Sus scrofa: one gene and its partners. The main gene of each other region encodes a partner of the protein of the gene in region 2 in a complex. Links are inferred from orthologs where the notes say so. Each region holds a gene or a part of one and is shown on either strand. Other genes may lie near its edges. The genes, in order: SMAD7, NEDD4L, SMAD3, AMOT and YWHAG.

Region 1 (4,446 bases), about 64 Mb from region 2:
GGGGGCGGGGGCGGGAGGCCTTGCGGGAGGCGGCGAGCCCAGGGCACACTCGCTCGCCTGCTCGGCGCACGGAGGATCCTGTCCCCGAACCGCGCCAGGCGAGCCAGCCGGGCGCCGTGCTCTGTCCGCTCGCCGCGCGGGAGAGAGCTGCCCGAGACAGAGCCAGCCCGCCGGCGCCGAGCTGCCGAGCGCCTGGCCCAGGAGTCCCTGGTGCGGCGCGGCGAGCCCCCGGCGGCGGCAGAAGGACTCGAGCGCCAGGAGAGGGCGGACGGGGGACAAGGAGGCTCCCGGGCGCGACGAGGAGAGTCTCGGAGGAGAAGGCGGCGTGAGGGACACCGGGGCCTCCAGCCGACGCAGCCTTGTCGGGGCGAGCAGCCCATAAGGGGAGCCCCGGCTCCCAGGGGAGGGGACACCGGCGGCCCCCGCGCTAGCGAGCGGAGGGCGAGAGCGCGCGACCCGCCAGGGGCCCGCCGCGGCCGCCGCGCCGCCCTCCCCCGCGCTGTCAGCCCCGCGGGGCGCAGCCGCCGCCGCAGCATCTTCTGCCCCTGCGCCCCCGCCAGCCCCGAGGAAGTCCCCGCCGAGGACTAGGGCCCCCGGGAGCTCAGGAGGAAAGACCAGAGACTCCTCCAAATCACCCAGATGCGAAGGATTGAAACAGCCTAGCCAAAGCTTTCTGTGGATTAAAAAAATACACGGCTTTTTTTTTTTTTCCCCCGAAGAAAAGGAGAGGAAGACCAGTGGGGCTCTGCAAGGAAAAAGGGGAATGTAACTCGTGGATACCTTTTTTCCACCCCTCAGACGTCTTGTTCTACTTTGTAAACATTTTCTTTTTTTAAACCCCAGCTCCAGCCAGACGCCCCCAGACCTCCGGGGTGCGAGGAGGTGGTGGTTTTCATTTTGGGCTTTGCGTATTTGGTTCTTAGATTTTGAGAGAACCTCCTTATTTCGCCAAACATCTCCTGCGGGGTGAAGTCCACTCGGCCCCCTCCCCCGAGTCTTCGTGTGCACGGAATTCAAGGAGATCCGGTTACTAAGGATATAGAAGAAAAAAATAAATCGCGTGCCTGCCTTTTTTTTTTTTTTTTTAATTGCCTCCTTCTCCCCACCCCCAAATTAAGTTGCTTAGGAAGGGGAAAAGAGGCTTTTTCCTCCCTCCGGCAGCCCAGCCGAACGCCTTTCTTTTTTTGCCCCCGCGGATCTTCCATGTAGGAAGCCAAGGCTGGCGAGCCCGACACTCGGGAGCCGCTGCGGGGGGGCCTCTTTTTGGGGAGGCGCCGACCGGGGTAGGCTTCGCCGCCCCCAGGGAAGCGGCGGCCGCGTTCCTCCGGGGTGCGCCGGGGCCCGAGAGCAGCGCGCGGCTCGGGCCGCGCGGGGTGGGGCAGCCGGAGCGCAGGCCCCCGAGCCCCGGCGGGCGCCTCCGGGCCCCCGCGCGCCCCCCGGCCTCCGGGAGACTGGCGCATGCCACGGAGCGCCCCTCGGGCCGCCGCCGCTCCTGCCCGGGCCCCTGCTGCTGCTGCTGTCGCCTGCGCCTGCTGCCCCAACTCGGCGCCCGACTTCTTCATGGTGTGCGGAGGTCATGTTCGCTCCTTAGCCGGCAAACGACTTTTCTCCTCGCCTCCTCGCCCCGCATGTTCAGGACCAAACGATCTGCGCTCGTCCGGCGTCTCTGGAGGAGCCGTGCGCCCGGCGGCGAGGACGAGGAGGAGGGCGCGTGGGGAGGCGGTGGAGGAGGCGAGCTGCGGGGAGAAGGGGCGACGGACGGCCGGGCACATGGGGCCGGTGGCGGCGGCGCAGGCAGGGCTGGCTGCTGCCTGGGCAAGGCGGTGCGAGGTGCCAAAGGTCACCACCATCCCCACCCCCCAGCCGCGGGCGCCGGCGTGGCCGGGGGCGCCGAGGCGGATCTGAAGGCGCTCACGCACTCGGTGCTTAAGAAACTGAAGGAACGGCAGCTGGAGCTGCTGCTCCAGGCCGTGGAGTCCCGCGGCGGTACGCGCACGGCGTGCCTCTTGCTGCCCGGCCGCCTGGACTGCAGGCTGGGCCTGGGGGCGCCTGCCGGCTCACAGCCCGCGCAGCCGCCCTCGTCCTACTCGCTCCCCCTCCTGCTGTGCAAAGTGTTCAGGTGGCCGGATCTCAGGCATTCCTCGGAAGTCAAGAGGCTGTGTTGCTGTGAATCTTACGGGAAGATCAACCCCGAGCTGGTGTGCTGCAACCCCCATCACCTTAGCCGACTCTGCGAACTAGGTAAGAAGTTGTTCTGCGCCCACCCACCTCTCCCCTTGGCGCTCAAGTAGTGAAAGAAAAGCCCCCTTCGGCTGTGTGTTTGTGCAGCTGTCTCGCCAGAGGGGAGAGTACATCCCCTCCTGGGAGAAGACTAGAGGGACAAAGGTAGAGAAGGGACTGGGGGGAACCTGGAAAGGCATTCCCTGGGGGTTCCCTTACAGTTTTTTTCTCCTCCTCTGTTTCCCCTAGCGGGGTTTTGGGCACTGCTCATGCACACACTCTACAGACCGGGGGTTAAAAATTAGATAGATTTCTCATTTCCGGATCAACCAAGGGGTGCAGAGAGAAGTGTGTGGGGGGGAGGAGGGGGGGTCACGCCTCCCCTGCACCCGGAAAGGCGTTGAGGTGTGTGGCCGAGTTGGATTCGGTCCAAGCCCGCCAAGGAAGGCTGGGAGAAGCAGTTGTAAAGACTGGAACGTCTCTGCCTGCTCCTTTAGTAAATAAGGAGAGTCCTGTCGGGCACAAGTGGCTGGGAAAGTGCCCTGTCCGGAGTAGCTTTGTGTTTTGGGGCGAAGAGAGTTTGATGGGCGGCGGCGCTGGATATCTGCTCTCAACTCTGCCAGCCCAGGGTGGAAGAGGACAAGCAGTCAGGAGAAGTTGGGTGCCCTCTGCTTTTTCCTTTCTTCCTGCACAGGAAAGCACAGTTCCTGACTGCAGAAGGGTCGGGCCCCAGCCCTCCCTGACGACACGGCCCCTTAACAGCTCTGGGGCCTGGGCTTCTCAGCTGAGATCCCAGCCTCCTGCATTGCTTTCCTTTTCTCTGCATATTTGTGTGGGGCGGGGGTGCACCCGGGGCGTTCACAAATCCAAGTTCACCAGCGGACTTGGGGTAAACCTCGCGGGTGGGCTGGGAGAGGGGAGCCCCGAGTTCCCCCGCGCGGTGTGGAGAGGAGCTGCGGTGGCCAAGGTGAATTTGCACCCCTGGGGGACGAGTCAGGGTGGGGGGGCGGCGGCGGGAGTCGGATCTGAAGTTCTGGGACCGAGCGGGGGCTTGGTCGCCCCCCGCCCTGTGAACTGTGAAGTGCCCGGCCCCGGTAGAGCCGGTGGTTTCCAGCCGGGCCGGCCGAGCGCGGCGGCGGCGGCCGCAGACGTGGAGGAGCGGAGCGCCGAGGCTGGCGCCAGGCGGCCTCTTTTGTTTATCTGACAGCTAAATATCAAGGCAATCACCGCCTCGCGGCCCTGCCTCCAACCCCCACAGCTAAGACAAACAGTTGGGCTAAAAGAATGCCTCTGTTATCATAAGTTTCTATCTCTCTTTCTCATGGCTCGGCCTTTATTTTCTCTTTCTTTTTTAATTCCAGAGTCTCCCCCTCCTCCTTACTCCAGATACCCGATGGATTTTCTCAAACCAACTGGTGAGTAGAGGGTTTTAAATATATCCTTCCTATCTTAGGTTAGAAATGGAGTCTCTAGAACTCGGATTTTTTATGTCTAGGCAGCGGCTTGGGGAGACCCTGGGCTTGCCCCAAGGTGGTTATAGGTTTCCTCTGTGGGAAGTTTGGTGGATTTTTTTCTGTTTTTGTTGTGACTGAACCTGGAGATAATATGTGTGTGTATAGATACAATATTATGCATGTATGTGTTTTTCTTTTTTTTTTTTTCAAAGATGTTTCCTAGATATGCATTACATTTTGTTCCTTTTTTCATGTATTTGCACTCCACAACCCAAGTTGGCTCAGCTTTTAAACACGTGGAATTTGATCCTTGCAGAAGTGTCTTGGGAGCCAAAGAGGACAGGTTGATGGGAAACTTTGGAGACGTTATGAGTGCCAGAAGTATCAGTGGGAAGAATGGATAGCTTGGTGGGAGGGAAGACAGTTTAAAAAGGTACAGAGAGGTCTTTGGGGTAAGCGAATTTGAACCTTTAAGACGTAAAGACGACAGGCCCTTCCCTTCCTGGTTTTCTCAGAATTCTTGGTGGGGGCTCTGAAAGTTTTTAGCATAGTTCTGCCTGCCTGTTGCTTTGTCACCAGATGGCTTGGGGCCAGGGCAGAAGCCGCACTTGAGACTGGCACCAGCCCCGTTGCGGTTGTCTGCATTCAACTTCTGACTGGCAGTGCAGGGGCTCACAGTGCCAGGGGAGGCGGGGGGTCCTCAAAGCTGGGACTCAGGGGTGACCACTGGATGGTCCCCTGTATCTTAGAGCCCTATCTTACAGCGAGAGGT
Region 2 (4,445 bases):
AGCAGGGAGCTCTCACAGCTGACTAAGGCAGCAAACACACTCCGAGCCATGCTGCTATAAATCTAACCGCATTGGCGCTCACAGGACACTTCTTTCTGAACCAAGCAGGGCCCCGGGACTCTCCAACCAATGCAGGAGAGAGACCCGGCTCCTAACACAGAAAAGCGCCCATAGTATTCCCCCACCTACCCCACCACCTTTCCCACGAAACCAAACGTTGTTGAGTAAAAATGCCGGGGCTGCAGGAAAACCCTTTCTCCAGCAATCGGATGTTATGTTGCCCTGTTATTTATGATATCACCACACTACCATGATGGAATGCAAACTAATAAAACGTACTATAAATACGATTACACACCCCGCCATTTAATGCTAAATAATTAGACCATGACCTACAAGTAACAAAATAGCTAAGTGGAAAGGGGCACCGCTTACAACACTCCCCAGCAGTGGTCTGCCTCTGGTTACGACGTTTTTCATTTAAACGATGGGGGAGGGAGGTGCTGGCGGCACACCATCTCACACATAATAGGATTCTCGGACATGTTAGTGACCAGAGAAAAAGAACCCAGCTGGAGAAAACATTCTCTCCCATATGCCAGATAGGAGAGAAAACAATACCCCCGCCCCAAAAAAAAGGAGAAGGAAAATTAAAGGGTATGCATGTGGTTTCTGTAATAAGTTAATTTCAATACCATGCAGGAAAAAAAGGCTGACTGGAGCTGGCTGACTGTTTTCCAGTAAGAAGCCAGCAATATCAGCCCAGTTGGGAAACATAGAATCTTGACATTTTTGTGAAGGGTCAAAAAAGACCTAAGTAATAAAAGTGAAAGTCCACGTTCAAAAAGCTGTCATCGGATTTGTAGCTAACTTGGATATATTCTGAGTGTTTTAAACATACTCTTTTTCATTGTCCTGAAACACGAGTTATTAACAAAGAGGCTTATTTCGGAGGAAGTAAGAAGGGAAGGGATGTGGGAATACCAAGCTGCAAAAAGTGACAAAAAGTTTATTTTAATATATGTTGACTTTGTCAACAGCTCTGGAGTCCAGAGTGTGGAGGATTAACCTTGTGTTTATATACATCCAAACCTGTTTTCTAAAGGCATGTGTTTTAAATGCCAAAAATGATCTCTATGAGAGAAATGGAAGCTAGTTTGTTTAATGTGAAAACTGCCAAGTACCACTATAGTCACGTAGTGTCTCTGCTGGATTAATAGCCAACAAAGAAAAAACCACCAGCAGCAGCATTCACGCATAGTAACAAGGATGCAGACAGCCTGGGGCAAAGCTAGGTACATAAAACAGTTTTTCAGATAAAGTTTCACATGAGATTTCTTAGAGCTCTGCATTCAAAGCCCTATTCGGCTTGGAAGTATAAGTTTTAGGCTCATGGCAAGGTCCTCTCAACAACAGTGATTCTTTTAGATAAGGGAAATGGGAAACATTTTTTACAGAGAATTTCTTTCAATAGAAGAGTTAAATGAGTTAAAACACATCTGACAAGAGACAGTTTTTTCCACAAAGCTGACCATTTCTTCACCTTGAAGAAATGTTGTAAGACACAATAAAAGAGAGAGTAAGGATTAATCTGTGGCTCCATCTGTGGACTCTGGGACTCTGCTGAACTCTGCCCAATCGGTGTTTCTGGACAGGAGATGGAGCACCAAGAACTACACCCTCAAGCAGAATTTCTCATTTGATTTAACAGCAAAATAACTTCGTGCACCGGGCAAAACTGATTTAGCTATTCAGTACTACTAAGCATCACCCAAGGTATAAAATGTCAAGTTCAATGCAAAGCCGCCGAGAATCCGTATATTTGAATAGAAAATATATCAGGATGGTAGGCCAGCATCTGTTGCTTTCTAATTTGGAGAATAATTCCAGGCATAGGAGATCAAATATACTCCTAGGTTCAATACTAAGGGTTAAGGCCTGGCTATTCACCACCAATGGCCTGAGACTTAATAGACGGGCAGGTATGTAATTACATCAAGGCTCTAGATCTCAGTTCTCTCACATGCAAGGACAGGGAATTAAATGAGTTGTATTATAAGCCTCCTCCAGATCAAATATTCTATTAAACTCAAGCTATTCAAAAACTTGGAGTTTCAGGTGACTTCTGCAGAAGGAAGGATTCATAATAACATTTCCTTTAAGCAATTAATACATGGTTGGACTCCCCCCCCCACATCTGCAGGTTCTGTATTCACGGTTTCAACCAACTGCAAATCAAAAATATCTAGAAAAAAAATTCCAGAAAGTTCCAAAAAGCAAAACTTGAATTTGCCTCATGCAGGCAACCATATATAAGTATTTTTAACCTATAATCTATACAACATATTAGTACTAGTTTTATGCCTTAGGCATACCTCTGGTTCTTTGAAGGTACTTTCTTTGAATTTCCCTTGAGAAAGCACCGCTTTTAAAATACAGCTTAATTTTACCTGCTAAATATAGATTCACTTTTTGCTATATACTGTTAATTAGATTTCTGTCATCCCAAAGAGATTCACTATTGAACGTGTCACAGTCTCAAAGTCTGGCTTACATATAAAAATCCTGAAAGGTTTATTTCCATGAGTAATGAGATTTGCCCACCTCTTTGTATCCCCAACAGAGGAGTATAAGCATATATGGCTTGATATACCACCAGTGTGATGGTCATGAATATTAACTATGATTAAAAACTTACACAGGTACAAATAAATTTTGTCCTACCCACACAAAAATATTTGTTTGAATTACGAACATTAAACTAGTAATGGGACAAAAATAGTCTTTTTGAGGGACATGTATGCTGTGAGAAATAAAACACATATAGACTTTTTAAAGATGTGCTGAAAATTCAATTTTTAAAAAATGAAGCAAAAATTAAAAATCAGGAACCACTTACCAATCTATTTTCATCAAATACTTCAAACAAGAGTCTGTGATTAGATGGGTTTACCTGTAAGGGACAAAAATAATAATTGTTACTATTGATTTATTCTGAGGCATGTGGAAGTTCTGGGGCCAGGGACTGGACCTGAGCCACAGCAGTGACAATGCTGGATCCTTAACTCACTGAGCCACCAGGGAACTCCCAGATAATACTTTTAAAATGAGCAGAAATAATTCAACGAATGAAAAAAGAGACTGAAAGAATAAAATGCTTTTTAATGCACTCAAATCAGTTGTACAATATAAGCAATCTGCTCTTATGAAAATCCTCTATATACTAAATCAAGTTTTCTATGATTGATCGCTATATTATTTTACACCTAATATTTAGGCCTATAAGAAGGAGAAAATGGTTTAAGTCACTTTTCTAATGCGAGAAAGGATATTTCTAAACAGTTTCTTTTAAATTTATTTTTCTAGATAAACTTTTATTTTTAAAAGTTCCTAAGTCTCCGCTAAAAAGGCATCCTCATGCCTGTAGATCAAGGCTACATCCTCACAAAGGTCTATGTCCGAGGAAACCTCTAAGGCCTAAAAATAACAGCAATGATAAAAAAAAAAAAAGAATAAAACAGTAAAAGCATGTAAATAGTTAAAAAAAGCAAAACAAAACATTCCTATTGCATGTTTCCTTTTTAGGCACTATCTTCTTATTAAATATCAAAAATACATCATCTCATTTATTCTCAAAGCAACCCTATGATGTATAATTGTCACCCCGATTTTTACAAATGAGAAGCCGAGACCAGAAGGGTTAACTAACTTGCCCCAGAGCCCATAGCTGGTATGCAGGGCAACCAGGATCCCCATCAGGTCTAGCCTGCTCGTCTCCAAAGCCCACTCTCCGGACCATTAAAGAGACAAGGAAATAAAAGATGGTTCTGTTTCCAGCAACTGCGGGGTCAGTGTCAGAGCCACTAGGCCATGTCTGGTTTTTGCTTTTGTTTTTGTTTGTCTTTTTCGGGCTGCACCTGCAGCATATGGAAGTTCCCAGGCTAGGGGTCCAATCAGAGCTGTATCTGCCAGCCTACACCACAGCTCACAGCAATGCCAGATTCTTAACCCACTGAGCAAGGCCAGGGACTGAACCCGTGTCCTCATGGATATCAGTCGGGTTCATTACTGCTGAGCCACAACGGGAATTCTAGGTGATGTCTTTTTGCTTCTTTCTGTCTCTTCACCCAGACTTCACTGAAATAGCAGGAATCATCATTCACACTCAAGTGTCATTTCGTTAAGGACCAACCACATGTGTGAGATGTTGTGGGAAGTGTTGTCATTTCTATTAATGCACATAAATCCTAGAAACAAGCCTATCAAGTGAAGATTCTTCTCTTCTAGTGGGAGATAAGGAGCCAGAGGGGAGTGTGAGTCCTCAGGTAGCTTCTCCAGGGTCAGAATGGTTCTAAGTGCTAAGGCTAGAGAAGGGTCCCAGGTCCACTAAGCCCAGGCTGCTTCACAATGGAAAATGGAATGAGGTACAGAGAACACAACTTGTG
Region 3 (3,646 bases), about 2.6 Mb from region 2:
GCAGGTTCCATCACTGGCCTCGCTCAGTGAGCTAAGGATCTGGTGTTGCCGTGAGCTGTGGTGTAGGTCAGATGCGGCTCACATCTGGCATGGCTGTGGTGACAGGCCAGTGGCTACAGCTCTGATTTGACTCCTAGCCTGGGAACTTCCATATGCCATGGGTGCGCCCCCTCCCAAAAAAATGATCAGGAGGCAGAGGCACAGGTGGAAAGACCCAGACCCAAAGGACAAAAACATTTGTTCTCGTTTTGATAATTTCTGACATATTTTAAATAGAGAAAAGTGTAAAGTGAGTGAGTAAACACCTGTGTATGCCATCTAGGATCTTTTAAAAAGTAAAACAAATGGGGAGGCTGTCTGGGAAGGATGAAGGCTCAGCAGCAGGGACTCTTTGCCACTGACTGTGTCACACTTGCTGTGTGGCCTCTGCCCTTCCCTGCCTGTCCGTCAGGGTCTTCCCTGGAACATGAGCACCCTGGCCCAGGCCTGTGGCTTCCAAACTTGTCTTAACTGTAAAATCCTCTCTCCGAATGAATCATCTCTGAAGGCCCAAGATATAATACAAACAAGAGCAGGGCTGCTCTGGGTCATGTGGCCCACTGCCCTACCTGGCTCCCGAGTTTGCCCTGGAGCCCCTTTGGCCACCCTGGGCACATGGAGCAATGTTTCAGAATACCAACCATCTCCATACCATCCCCATGGCTCTTGTAGGTGACTCTGGATCACAACATTGGGAATACTCTTAGCATGATTTTATGAGCAAATAAAGCAACACAGCAAGGCTTCAATCTTCCCTAAACTAAGTGGGCTTTACCGCACGCTGGGTGCTGGAAGACAGAGTGGCAGCAGCAGTGGTACCCAGCAGTGGGCAATACTTGCCTCTCTACCTCTTCTAAGTTCCTAGGATAATCCTGTGTGAAATGAACAAACCAAAGATCATCTTTCCAGGACTATCTACTTACCCACTTATCAGTACTTTAAGGGTATTTCTTTTTTTTTTTTTTTTTGGTCTTTTTAAGGCTGCACCCTCTGCATCCCAGGCTAGGGGGCTCGAATCAGAGCTGTAACCACTGGCCTATGCCACAGTCACAGCCACGCCAGATCCGAGCTGCGTCTGCAACCTACACCATAGCTCACGGCAACTCCAGATCCTTAATCCACTGAGTGAGGCCAGGGATTGAACCTGAGTCCTCAAGGATCCTAGTCGGGTTTGTTAACCACTGAACCACAACGGGTACTCCCCCTTAAGGGTATTTTTATTAAGGAGAATTACACAGTTGCCTTTTTCCAGAAAGTCCAGCATCTTCCCTTGTGGCTTTCAAAGTTTCAAAGATGATATCTGTCTCTGGGTGAGAATGATCAAGCAACCTGAACTCTACCTGTCTGGCCCCTGAATAAGGTGACAGAGAGCTTTTGGGGGAGGGGTGGAGGTGGGGGAGGCCCAGCACAGTGGTGGCGGATTCTGGAGGGGTCTGTGCTGGGCTGGGGATCTGGGGTGTCGTGGGGGAAACTCGACCGCCCCTCACCGATGTGCCTCCGTGTCAGCTCCACAGCCGCATTCCTGTTGACATTGGAGAGCAGCCCCAGGCAGAAGCGCTCCGAGTTGGAGGGGTCGGTGAAGCCGTCCACGGTCATGGACGGTTGCGAGGCGTGGAATGTCTCCCCGACGCGCTGGTTGAGCTCGTAGTAGGAGATGGAGCACCAGAAGGCCGGCTCGCAGTAGGTGACGGGCTGCAGGTCTGAGGAGACAGGCCAGCCCCTGGGTCAGTGGCGCCCCAGGCCCCGTGCCCCTGGACGGGGTCTGCCGGCTGCTCTGGAAGACTGTTCCCCACCTCTCAGAGGGCATTATAATCTCCCCACCCTCGTACCTTTTACTGGATAAAACCTGCAGGAGCAGCCAGCGGGACAAAATACTCAGGTGGCAGGAGAAGCACTTTTCATTTAGCTTTAGCTTCCAAAGGCCCTGCCCCGCCTGGCCTGGCCTCAGGTTGAAGCCGTCTTCAGGGAGGTGCTAGGCCAAGCCCCTGGACAGACACACTGGACAGGCTGGGTGTGCCTATCGCGGGCAGGCCACGCCACCTGCCTCTCTTCCTAGGTCCCCGAGGTAACCCATGCTGATCTCCGCCCCTCCAAAGCTAACTCCTGTCGAGCAGCAGCATCCAAGCCTGTGAAACGATAAGGCTGCTGCAGCCCTGGGGTCTGCGCTGCGCTTGGTGTCCAAGACCACACAGGCGCCAGGCACCATCTGCAGAGTAAACCCGGTTCCTGCCTCTTGTTATAGAAACTATCCTCCAAGTGTATCCAGATGTTGAGCAACCAGGAGGCTAACACACAAACTCACCTAAAAGAAACTCTGAACTTCTAGAGGTCATCCTGTGGTCTCAGTCAAGGGCACCTCAGAGTAACTGCCGTCCTGGGAGGGGGCAGTTCTGTTTCTCAGAAGAGGTGGGAACTCCTGAAGTAGAGGTTTCCCCTCACACGAAGCCACACCTCCCTTTCCAGGGACGCCCTAGCCTTCCTGTCACCTCCAGTTGTTCTGGGCTCCACACCTGCCCAGGTACCCCTGCCTGTCTCTGTGTCACTTCTCACCTCAGGGTCCCTCCTCGTCATTCTTCACTTGCACTAGTGCCACGGCCCTCTGACAGGGCTCCCCAGCACCCAGCCCAGCCCTTCCAGCTTCTTCTCTGCCCTGTCCTGCTCCCGGGGCCACGTCCTTCCCCTGTGCCTCCTCGAATCCCCCTATTTGTTGGTGAATCAGAGTCTGCTGCTCTCATTCTGGTCTTAGCCCTCTGGCCTGCACCACGTACTCTGGCTCTTACATATACATAGAGAGTTGCGTATATGGTTACTCAGGCGTGTCTCTGGAAGCTGGTGAGAGGATGGGAGAGCTCGCCATGCCAAGTCAGCACTGGCCCGAGACCCGTGTCACCGCCGGCCAGGCAACTTCCTAGAGCGAGAACCCATGAGAACTTAAGCTCAGCTCACCAGACCTCACAAAGTGTATAAAAGCCCAGGAAAGAATAAAGCAGAAGCTATTCCAGGAGGGGCCTGGGTTCCCCTGCAGGGCAAAATGGCCCTGATCTCCTTCTGGGGTCTACGCCCATGATCCCATCTAAGAGCAAAGAGAAGGCTGGCTCACAGGGGAAGGGCTGCGGACCGGTGACACCCCTGCACTCAACATGCTGTGAAGAGTTGGCTGGAGGGTGAGGGCACTTGGATCAGGTCTCGGCCTTGGCAAATTTGGGGCACGATAATTCTTTCCTTGGGTGGGGGGATCCTGCGTGCTCTGGGATGTGCAACAGCAGCATCCTAAGCCTCTGCCTACTTGATGCCAGCAACATACATCCATCTCACCCTCCCAGCTGTGACTGTAAGAAACTTCTCCAGACACTGAGAGACGTCTTCTGGGGGCAAAATAGGCCGCAGTTGAAAATCACTGTCCTGGGTGTTTGACCAGCTCAGGGAGCACAAGCTTCAAGGCTGGACAGACTTGTGTTCACATTCGGCTTTGGCACGGACCTGCTGCATGCTGGTGAGCAAGCCAGCCAAACTGAGCTTTGGTGTCCGTACCTCTCCTGGCCACCCGACTGGAGCATCCCCTTTCTCATCGGGCACTGTTTGTGGTTGGACTGAGATAATTCATACG
Region 4 (3,646 bases), on a different chromosome or scaffold from region 2:
CTTTACAAACAGAGAGGATTTAATTTTTAAAAGCAGTTGATAAATATATAAACCCCGGATGCAGAAAAGGCTTGGCACTTAGAAAGACAGAGATTCAGAAAATGTTTGATTCTTCAGATGGCTCTGGCCTTATTTCCCATCTGGAGTTCTGGGCATTCAGGATATTTACTTTTTAAGTAGGGAGGAGGGCATAGGGAAGATGAAGTAATAAAAAAAGATTGTTTGTAACATTTTGTTCAATTGAACAGCAAATCTCTAGCATTTCACGGCACCTCCAAAGGCCAACAAAGGCTTTTTGAACGACAATTTGTTCAAAGAGCTTACTCTGCATCCTGATCTGCAATTTATGGATTAAGAACTAAGGATTTCGTCTTCTAATTGTTTAGTTCTGGCTACAGTTACCTGGAAAGGTACACACTGTCTAGCCAGTTGGTTAAAGGAAATAAAGGAGGAAAAATGGAGCCACCACCTAAAAGTGGTTCACTTCTGGAAAGCAATTCAACAACCTCCCTTCGCCAGTAATTTGTCAATAGGTGCCACACCCTCACCCCAGGCTCTACAAAAAATTTTATTGCCGGTTTGTCTGCTGCCAACCCAAAATTCACCAAGAGCATCTTCTGATTAGGATTGTTTTCAGTTTGATTATTCATTGAACGTACTCCTCTCCCACAGAAGAAAAAAAAAATCAACTCTGAGAGCAAACCTGTGTATTTAAGTGCCGCTCAAGAGAGGGTAATCAGCACGGCTCTGCTGCTTTTGGGGAGAGGAAGAGCAATCCACAGATAACCTAGGAGGGAGGAGAAAATACACATATCTTCCTGTCAAATATAGGCAGCTAAATTTCTCTGGTGGTTTAATGAGTATGGGAAGAAAAAAAAAATCCCTCTTTGGGCTCCTTAGTATTTATTTAGGCAGATCAAAGGGCTTTTCCAACTAGCTTCAAACACTGTGGGAGTCATTTCAGATCACAAACAATACTGGTGAATGAGTTCTGAAAATAGCTTTCCTGGGAGGGCGGGACATGGGCTGGGCGGGGCTTGGATCCTGTTCCATACCCCAGCCAACATACTCCCCTCCCATAAGGCCATAAGTGGGTACACCCTATCCACATACAGGAGGGAGCCCCAGAGACTCTTCTATGCTCATGAGAAGAGCAAAACCACCACCCCCCAGCTTCATTGACATTTTGCTGGCTTGGATGGGTTTCCACTAAGCTAAGCAGTCCAATGGACCAACACCCTGCCTGGGTCTTCCGTTTCAGTGGGCAGATGGGAATTGACTTCTTGCTCATTTAAACCGGAAGGGCCCTGTCCGTTACCCCATTTCCTGTTCCAAGCCACTTATCAGAAGTTAAGCTCCTGCCCTTTGAAAGCTGCACAGAGAAGGTTGAAAAAGGTTAGGAAATCAACTTGGGTTAAGGAAAAAAAATCCTAAACTGGTAAAGTTAGGGGTGGAGTCCAAAGTGAATTGCCTCTGGCTAAAAAAACCGGGAGGTGGGGAAAAAAAAAGAAATACCAGGAAATGCCAGGTGCATTCTCTTACCTTCACCCTACTCCACCCCCCTGACTGCCTTCTTTCTCTACTGAGTCACCCACTATACTACAAGCCAAGAGGCTCTTTCCGAAATGAGTGAGAAGGGAACAGGAGGCAAAAAGTCAGACATCAAGGAGATCCATCGGGGCTGTCAATGGAAAAAAGCCACCCATGATTAACCATGGTAATTAGGAATACCACACAGAACGGCCATCATTTTTGCCCAAGGTTGAAACGTCCCCTCTGTCCCATATGCTGAAATACTCCTGGTTGTAGACATGGCACTAGTCCTAACAATAAGAACAATGAACACAATCATGGAATCATAAGGTCTGGTTGATACGGCCATGAGTTAATGGGCCCCTGAATAATCCAGAAGCATATTTAGGGATTAATGAATATAAAAAAAGAGTCCTACTGAAGTTGATAGAAGTCATACAAATATTTTTTTCTTCTGCATTTTAGCTTCTGACCAAAACTTCTGTACGGTATGAGGCAAATTTAACTTAGGTGTTTAAAAGTATCACCAGCAACTAACACACTCTTGATGGAAGAAAGATGAAGCAGTCTAGACTTCATGACCTGCAAGGAAGTACAAGGCTAGTAACATTCTGAACCTGCACGTATGCAGTTCTCCCAACAATGATATCTGAATGTTTGTTTAGTGTCTGAGAGAATCACACTAATTCTGCAGGAAGATTTGTTCACAAAAATTCGTGAAGACAGTTTTGTGGAGGAGAAGAGATGAAAGGGATGGGATGTTCCAGACTAAAGTGCATTAAGATCATTTACTTCCTTTCAAAGAAGGCCTAAATAATGCACAAAAAGAGGAACACTGCCTCTTCCTTGAAGATCCTAGAAGACCAGACAGCAAAAAGCTGCTGAAATCAAGACTTGTGCTCCTGTCCTGCCACTAGGCAGCTGGGGCCACGCTCAACCTATAAAGTCAAAGGAATGTTAATACTGGACTAATAAGGACTGAGGAGGCTAGAGATTCAGGTTGGCAGGAAATTTATCAAGCTAGGGGCCAGCCATGCATCGCAGAGTTTATTACACCAAACACCTGCCCATTCCTTCCCTCCAGATTCCCAACACACAGCATAAGCTGGTTGGGGATGAGGTCAGGAAATGACAGAAAGGGAACTCTCTTACCTGGCTGCTCCATATTCAGGGGGATGCTGATACCTCATCAGTTGCCCCTCTGTTCTCCCTGGCTGGTTCAGACGATGCTCACTATAGAAGTGCCCTGGCTCTTGGGGCTTGCACACTACAGATTGGGGTGGCATGCCCTTGAAGGGATACTCTGGTGGGGGGCCTCGGTGTTCCATGCCCTTCAGGCTATGCTGGCTGGGAGGTGGCCCCTGGGCCTTGTAGAATTCACTGGAACTTGTGGGATTCTTGTAGAGGTCATTGGGTTGTGGTGGGGAGAGGGGAGCGCTGGTGACAGGTGGATGGGTCTTAACTCCACTGGTGGCCAGTGACATCTGCATGAGCCGTTCACTCAGGGAGCGAACGTGTCCCTGCTTAAGGTCTCGGAGTCCTTCATCCTGGTGCATCTTTCCAGGATTAAGTCGCTGAACTGATGGGCGGCCCTCAGTCCTCATCTTCTGGTTGGTCACTCCGGTGACGTAGAAGGCAGCTCCAACGCTGGCATGCTGCTGGCCCCGAAAGTACTGGGACTGGACCTTGGCTTCTTCATAGGTCGGGAGTTCTTCATTATTCTGCATTCGAGGGGAAAGCTGCTTCTCCATGATGATATTTTCTGACTGGATTTCCTGCCCCTGGGGTTCTTGTCGAGCAGCATGAGCCACGAGTTGTTGGTGGTGGTCTTGGGGGCTCAACACATCATTCTGAGGGCCTGGGTTCCCACTGCCACTGGGGAAAGGAGGTCCGTTCCCTGTGGCTTGCTGGTGTATGGCAAGCAAGTTGCGGTTTTCATTAGGATTGCCATAGCGAAGCTGCTCTTGTAGCAGACGCTGCAAAACCGTGGTTCCTCCACTTGGCTGTTCTTCAGAATTTCTCATCTCTATTGCTGGTGGTGCCTTGTGAAGAGAGAGAGAAATTGGGCACCTGGGCTGCCCTTGACCTGGGAAGGGGAAACAGGAAGCTTAAC
Region 5 (2,643 bases), on a different chromosome or scaffold from region 2:
CCAAGCACCTGTTAACCAAAACCTAAAGTAGCTCTGATTCTCCTCAGGCAAGCCTTCCGGCCTAGGAGAGAGAGAACAGCAAAACCAACCTGGATAAGGCTGAATAAGGACGTACAAGCCACAGTAAAGAAAAATACACAATCAATGGCTTGATGTTACATATGGCTGTAATGTAGAAATACTGTAAACTGCAATTTAGTGTTAATACTGTCAACCAATCAGGAACTTCTGAAAACTGGCAACGCCTAACCCATAAGGATAAATATACCTTATGTTCTAAGTCTATCAGCTTGGGATTTAAACTATTCCATGTCTGGTAGAGTACACCCTGAAAAAAAAATGCACAGCTAAAACAGATGAGACAGAAAGTACCCAAAACTTAAGACAAGAGCATATGTACATAAAAATCCTTACTGGAACCACAGAACTTATTGAATGAGGGCCATTCCATTTAAGTTTTCAATTCATCTTTAAACCCTATGTTCTAGCAATAAGTTAAATTAAAGACAGCTCCACTTGCATTAATCTACAGAACAGTCCATAAGCCAGTGTGAGGCTGCTATTCCAATACCAGCACAGCTAGCCTGACTTTCCACTAGTGGTATTTTGGCAAAAATGTCAAAGAGGCGATCAAAGACAGGACAGGTCGTGGGTTTCTCCCTAGGAAGGTCATCCCTCCCTTTCCCTCCCCCACCCGACCCCCAACTCATGGGAAAAAATAAAGACTGCAGTAGTAGCATCAGCGTGCGCTGCCAGTCCACCTGGGGCCTTAATTGTTGCCTTCTCCACCGTCGTCGTCTTGCTGATCGCTTGTCCAGAGCGTGAGGTTGTCGCGGAGGAGCTGCATGATGAGCGTGGAGTCCTTGTAGGAGTCCTCGTTGAGGGTGTCAAGCTCGGCGATGGCGTCATCGAAAGCGGTCTTGGCCAAGTGGCAGGCTTGCTCCGGGGCGTTCTGGATCTCATAGTAGAAAACGGAGTAGTTAAGGGCCAGGCCTAATCTAATGGGGTGAGTGGGCTGCATGTGCTCCTTGCTGATCTCATGGGCTTCGCTATAGGCCTTCTCAGACGACTCCACGACGGTCGCCCTCTTCTCTCCAGTGGCTACTTCGGCCAGGTAGCGGTAATAGTCCCCTTTCATCTTCAGGTAGAACACTTTGCTCTCATACTGGGTCTCGCTGCAATTCTTGATCAGGTAGTTATCCAGCAGGCTCAGCACATCCTGACATACGGCCTCCAACTCCTTCTCTATTTTTTCACGGTAAGCACGGACCATCTCTATCTTCTTCTCATTGCCATCTGCAGAGGTCTTCTGCTCAATGCTACTAATGACCCTCCAGGAAGAACGGCGCGCCCCGACTACATTCTTGTAAGCCACAGAGAGAAGGTTTCTTTCTTCATTGGACAGTGGCTCATTCAGCTCTGTCACCTATTAAGGAGGAAAGAAGACAGAGTTGTTACGGTACAGATGATGTCAGCTGGATTAATCACTTCTTTATGCCGCTAAAACATCAGCTGCTAAGGTCATTAACAGTCAGAGAAGTTAGGCCGTGCAGCTCTATGGAAGGGGGACGGAGGTGGGACGAGCAACAACCAAGGAAAAAAAACTGCAGCTGGATCACTGGTGCCTCAACTCCTGCTTCCTTCCTAGAAAAGGACACACACACGTGTCACGTAGCTCTCCCGTAAGATGACAAACCAAATCTCGATCTACATTACAAAAGGTCAACAGCTCTCATGCAACATTACATAGATACCAATCCTCAGGACTTTAACTAGAGATGGCTTCCATACAGCATCAGTTTTTTAAAGAAAATGGAATAACAGCTTCTAAGCTTGACCTGCCAAATTTCAGTCCCAGCCCTCTGGATGAGAGTATCTTGCATGCTGGGTGAGAATATATCGAGTCAACTTCAAAGTTGACTTTTGAGAAACAAAGAAACTTTTCTGTTCTTACGTTAGTATAAACTAGAGTTCCTGCTGTGGTGCAGTGGGGTCAGTGCCGTGTCTGCAGCACCAGGATGCAGATGCAGGCTCAATCCCCGGGCCTGGCACAGTGGGTTAAAGGATCCCACCTCCCGCAGCTGCAGCGTAGGTCACAACTGCAGCTCAGATTTGATCCCTGGCCTGAGAATTCCATGTGCCACTGGGTGGCCGAAAAAGCAAAAAGGATAATATAAATTACAAACCTCAGAAAGAAAGTAAAAATTGGGGGCATGGGATTGACTCTATAATTACTGAGATATTTGCAACTCAGAGAATAAATACTTGAATACAATTAGCAAAAAGATGGAGAGGTGAGCAAAAAAAGCACTTCTGAGTTGAGGAGACCAATAGGAATGAATGCTTCTTTTTTTTCCCTTTTTATTTTTTTCTGTTATAGTTGATTTATAATGTTCTGTCAATTTCTGCTGTACAGCAAAGTGACCCATTCATACAGATATGAATGCTTCTTTCCATTGTACTTATTTATTTTTCTTGGCCATGCTTGCAACATGTGGAAGTTCCCAAGCCAGGAATCAAACTCTCACCACAGCAGAGACCTGAGCCACTGCCATGACAATGCCAGGTATGCAATCCGCTGTGCGGCAAGGGAAGTCCCAATGACTAAGAGCTTTGAGGAAAATTAAGCAACATACACCAATA

What was found.
Region 1: the proteins of NEDD4L (region 2) and SMAD7 are in contact, whole or in part, in an NMR structure (PDB 2LTY), measured with the Homo sapiens proteins. The link is inferred for Sus scrofa from reciprocal best matches to the Homo sapiens genes NEDD4L and SMAD7. Residues at the interface, in NP_001138439.1 of Homo sapiens: Arg394, Asp396, Lys398, Arg400, Tyr402, Val404, Asn405, His406, Arg409, Thr410, Thr411, Thr412, Trp413; in NP_005895.1 of Homo sapiens: Glu203, Glu205, Ser206, Pro207, Pro208, Pro209, Tyr211, Ser212, Arg213, Tyr214, Pro215, Asp217.
Region 3: the proteins of NEDD4L (region 2) and SMAD3 are in contact, whole or in part, in an NMR structure (PDB 2LB2), measured with the Homo sapiens proteins. The link is inferred for Sus scrofa from reciprocal best matches to the Homo sapiens genes NEDD4L and SMAD3. Residues at the interface, in NP_001138439.1 of Homo sapiens: Glu392, Glu393, Arg394, Lys398, Gly399, Arg400, Tyr402, Val404, Asn405, His406, Arg409, Thr410, Thr411, Trp413; in NP_005893.1 of Homo sapiens: Glu178, Thr179, Pro180, Pro181, Pro182, Gly183, Tyr184, Leu185, Ser186, Glu187, Asp188.
Region 4: the proteins of NEDD4L (region 2) and AMOT are in contact, whole or in part, in a crystal structure (PDB 7LP3), measured with the Homo sapiens proteins. The link is inferred for Sus scrofa from reciprocal best matches to the Homo sapiens genes NEDD4L and AMOT. Residues at the interface, in NP_001138439.1 of Homo sapiens: Lys202, Asp204, Leu206, Arg208, Tyr210, Val212, Asn213, His214, Arg217, Thr218, Thr219, Gln220, Trp221; in NP_001106962.1 of Homo sapiens: His235, Arg236, Gly237, Pro238, Pro239, Pro240, Glu241, Tyr242, Pro243, Phe244, Met247.
Region 5: the proteins of NEDD4L (region 2) and YWHAG are in contact, whole or in part, in a crystal structure (PDB 6ZC9), measured with the Homo sapiens proteins. The link is inferred for Sus scrofa from reciprocal best matches to the Homo sapiens genes NEDD4L and YWHAG. Residues at the interface, in NP_001138439.1 of Homo sapiens: Pro444, Arg445, Ser446, Leu447, Ser448, Ser449, Pro450; in NP_036611.2 of Homo sapiens: Lys50, Arg57, Arg61, Lys125, Arg132, Tyr133, Gly174, Leu177, Asn178, Val181, Tyr184, Glu185, Leu225, Asn229, Leu232, Trp233.

What each region holds. Positions count from the first base shown.
Region 1 is NC_010443.5:98,539,498-98,543,943, reverse strand, and holds the start of SMAD7 (mothers against decapentaplegic homolog 7), read left to right. Parts: upstream 1-1,628; coding exon 1,629-2,241; intron 2,242-2,265; exon of another isoform or gene 2,266-2,803; coding exon of another isoform or gene 2,804-2,876; intron 2,877-2,882; exon of another isoform or gene 2,883-3,187; intron 3,188-3,581; coding exon 3,582-3,635; intron 3,636-4,446. UniProt on the Homo sapiens protein: Antagonist of signaling by TGF-beta (transforming growth factor) type 1 receptor superfamily members; has been shown to inhibit TGF-beta (Transforming growth factor) and activin signaling by associating with their receptors thus preventing SMAD2 access.
Region 2 is NC_010443.5:162,513,970-162,518,414, forward strand, and holds the start of NEDD4L (E3 ubiquitin-protein ligase NEDD4-like), read right to left. Parts: upstream 2,851-4,445; 5' UTR 1-2,850. UniProt on the Homo sapiens protein: E3 ubiquitin-protein ligase that mediates the polyubiquitination of lysine and cysteine residues on target proteins and is thereby implicated in the regulation of various signaling pathways including autophagy, innate immunity or DNA repair.
Region 3 is NC_010443.5:165,109,836-165,113,481, reverse strand, and holds part of SMAD3 (mothers against decapentaplegic homolog 3), read right to left. Parts: intron 1,740-3,646; coding exon 1,527-1,739; intron 1-1,526. UniProt on the Homo sapiens protein: Receptor-regulated SMAD (R-SMAD) that is an intracellular signal transducer and transcriptional modulator activated by TGF-beta (transforming growth factor) and activin type 1 receptor kinases.
Region 4 is NC_010461.5:92,627,238-92,630,883, forward strand, and holds part of AMOT (angiomotin), read right to left. Parts: intron 3,620-3,646; 5' UTR 3,558-3,619; coding exon 2,686-3,557; intron 2,617-2,685; exon of another isoform or gene 1-2,616.
Region 5 is NC_010445.4:10,018,682-10,021,324, reverse strand, and holds part of YWHAG (14-3-3 protein gamma), read right to left. Parts: intron 1,427-2,643; coding exon 770-1,426; 3' UTR 762-769; intron 1-761. UniProt on the Homo sapiens protein: Adapter protein implicated in the regulation of a large spectrum of both general and specialized signaling pathways. Binds to a large number of partners, usually by recognition of a phosphoserine or phosphothreonine motif.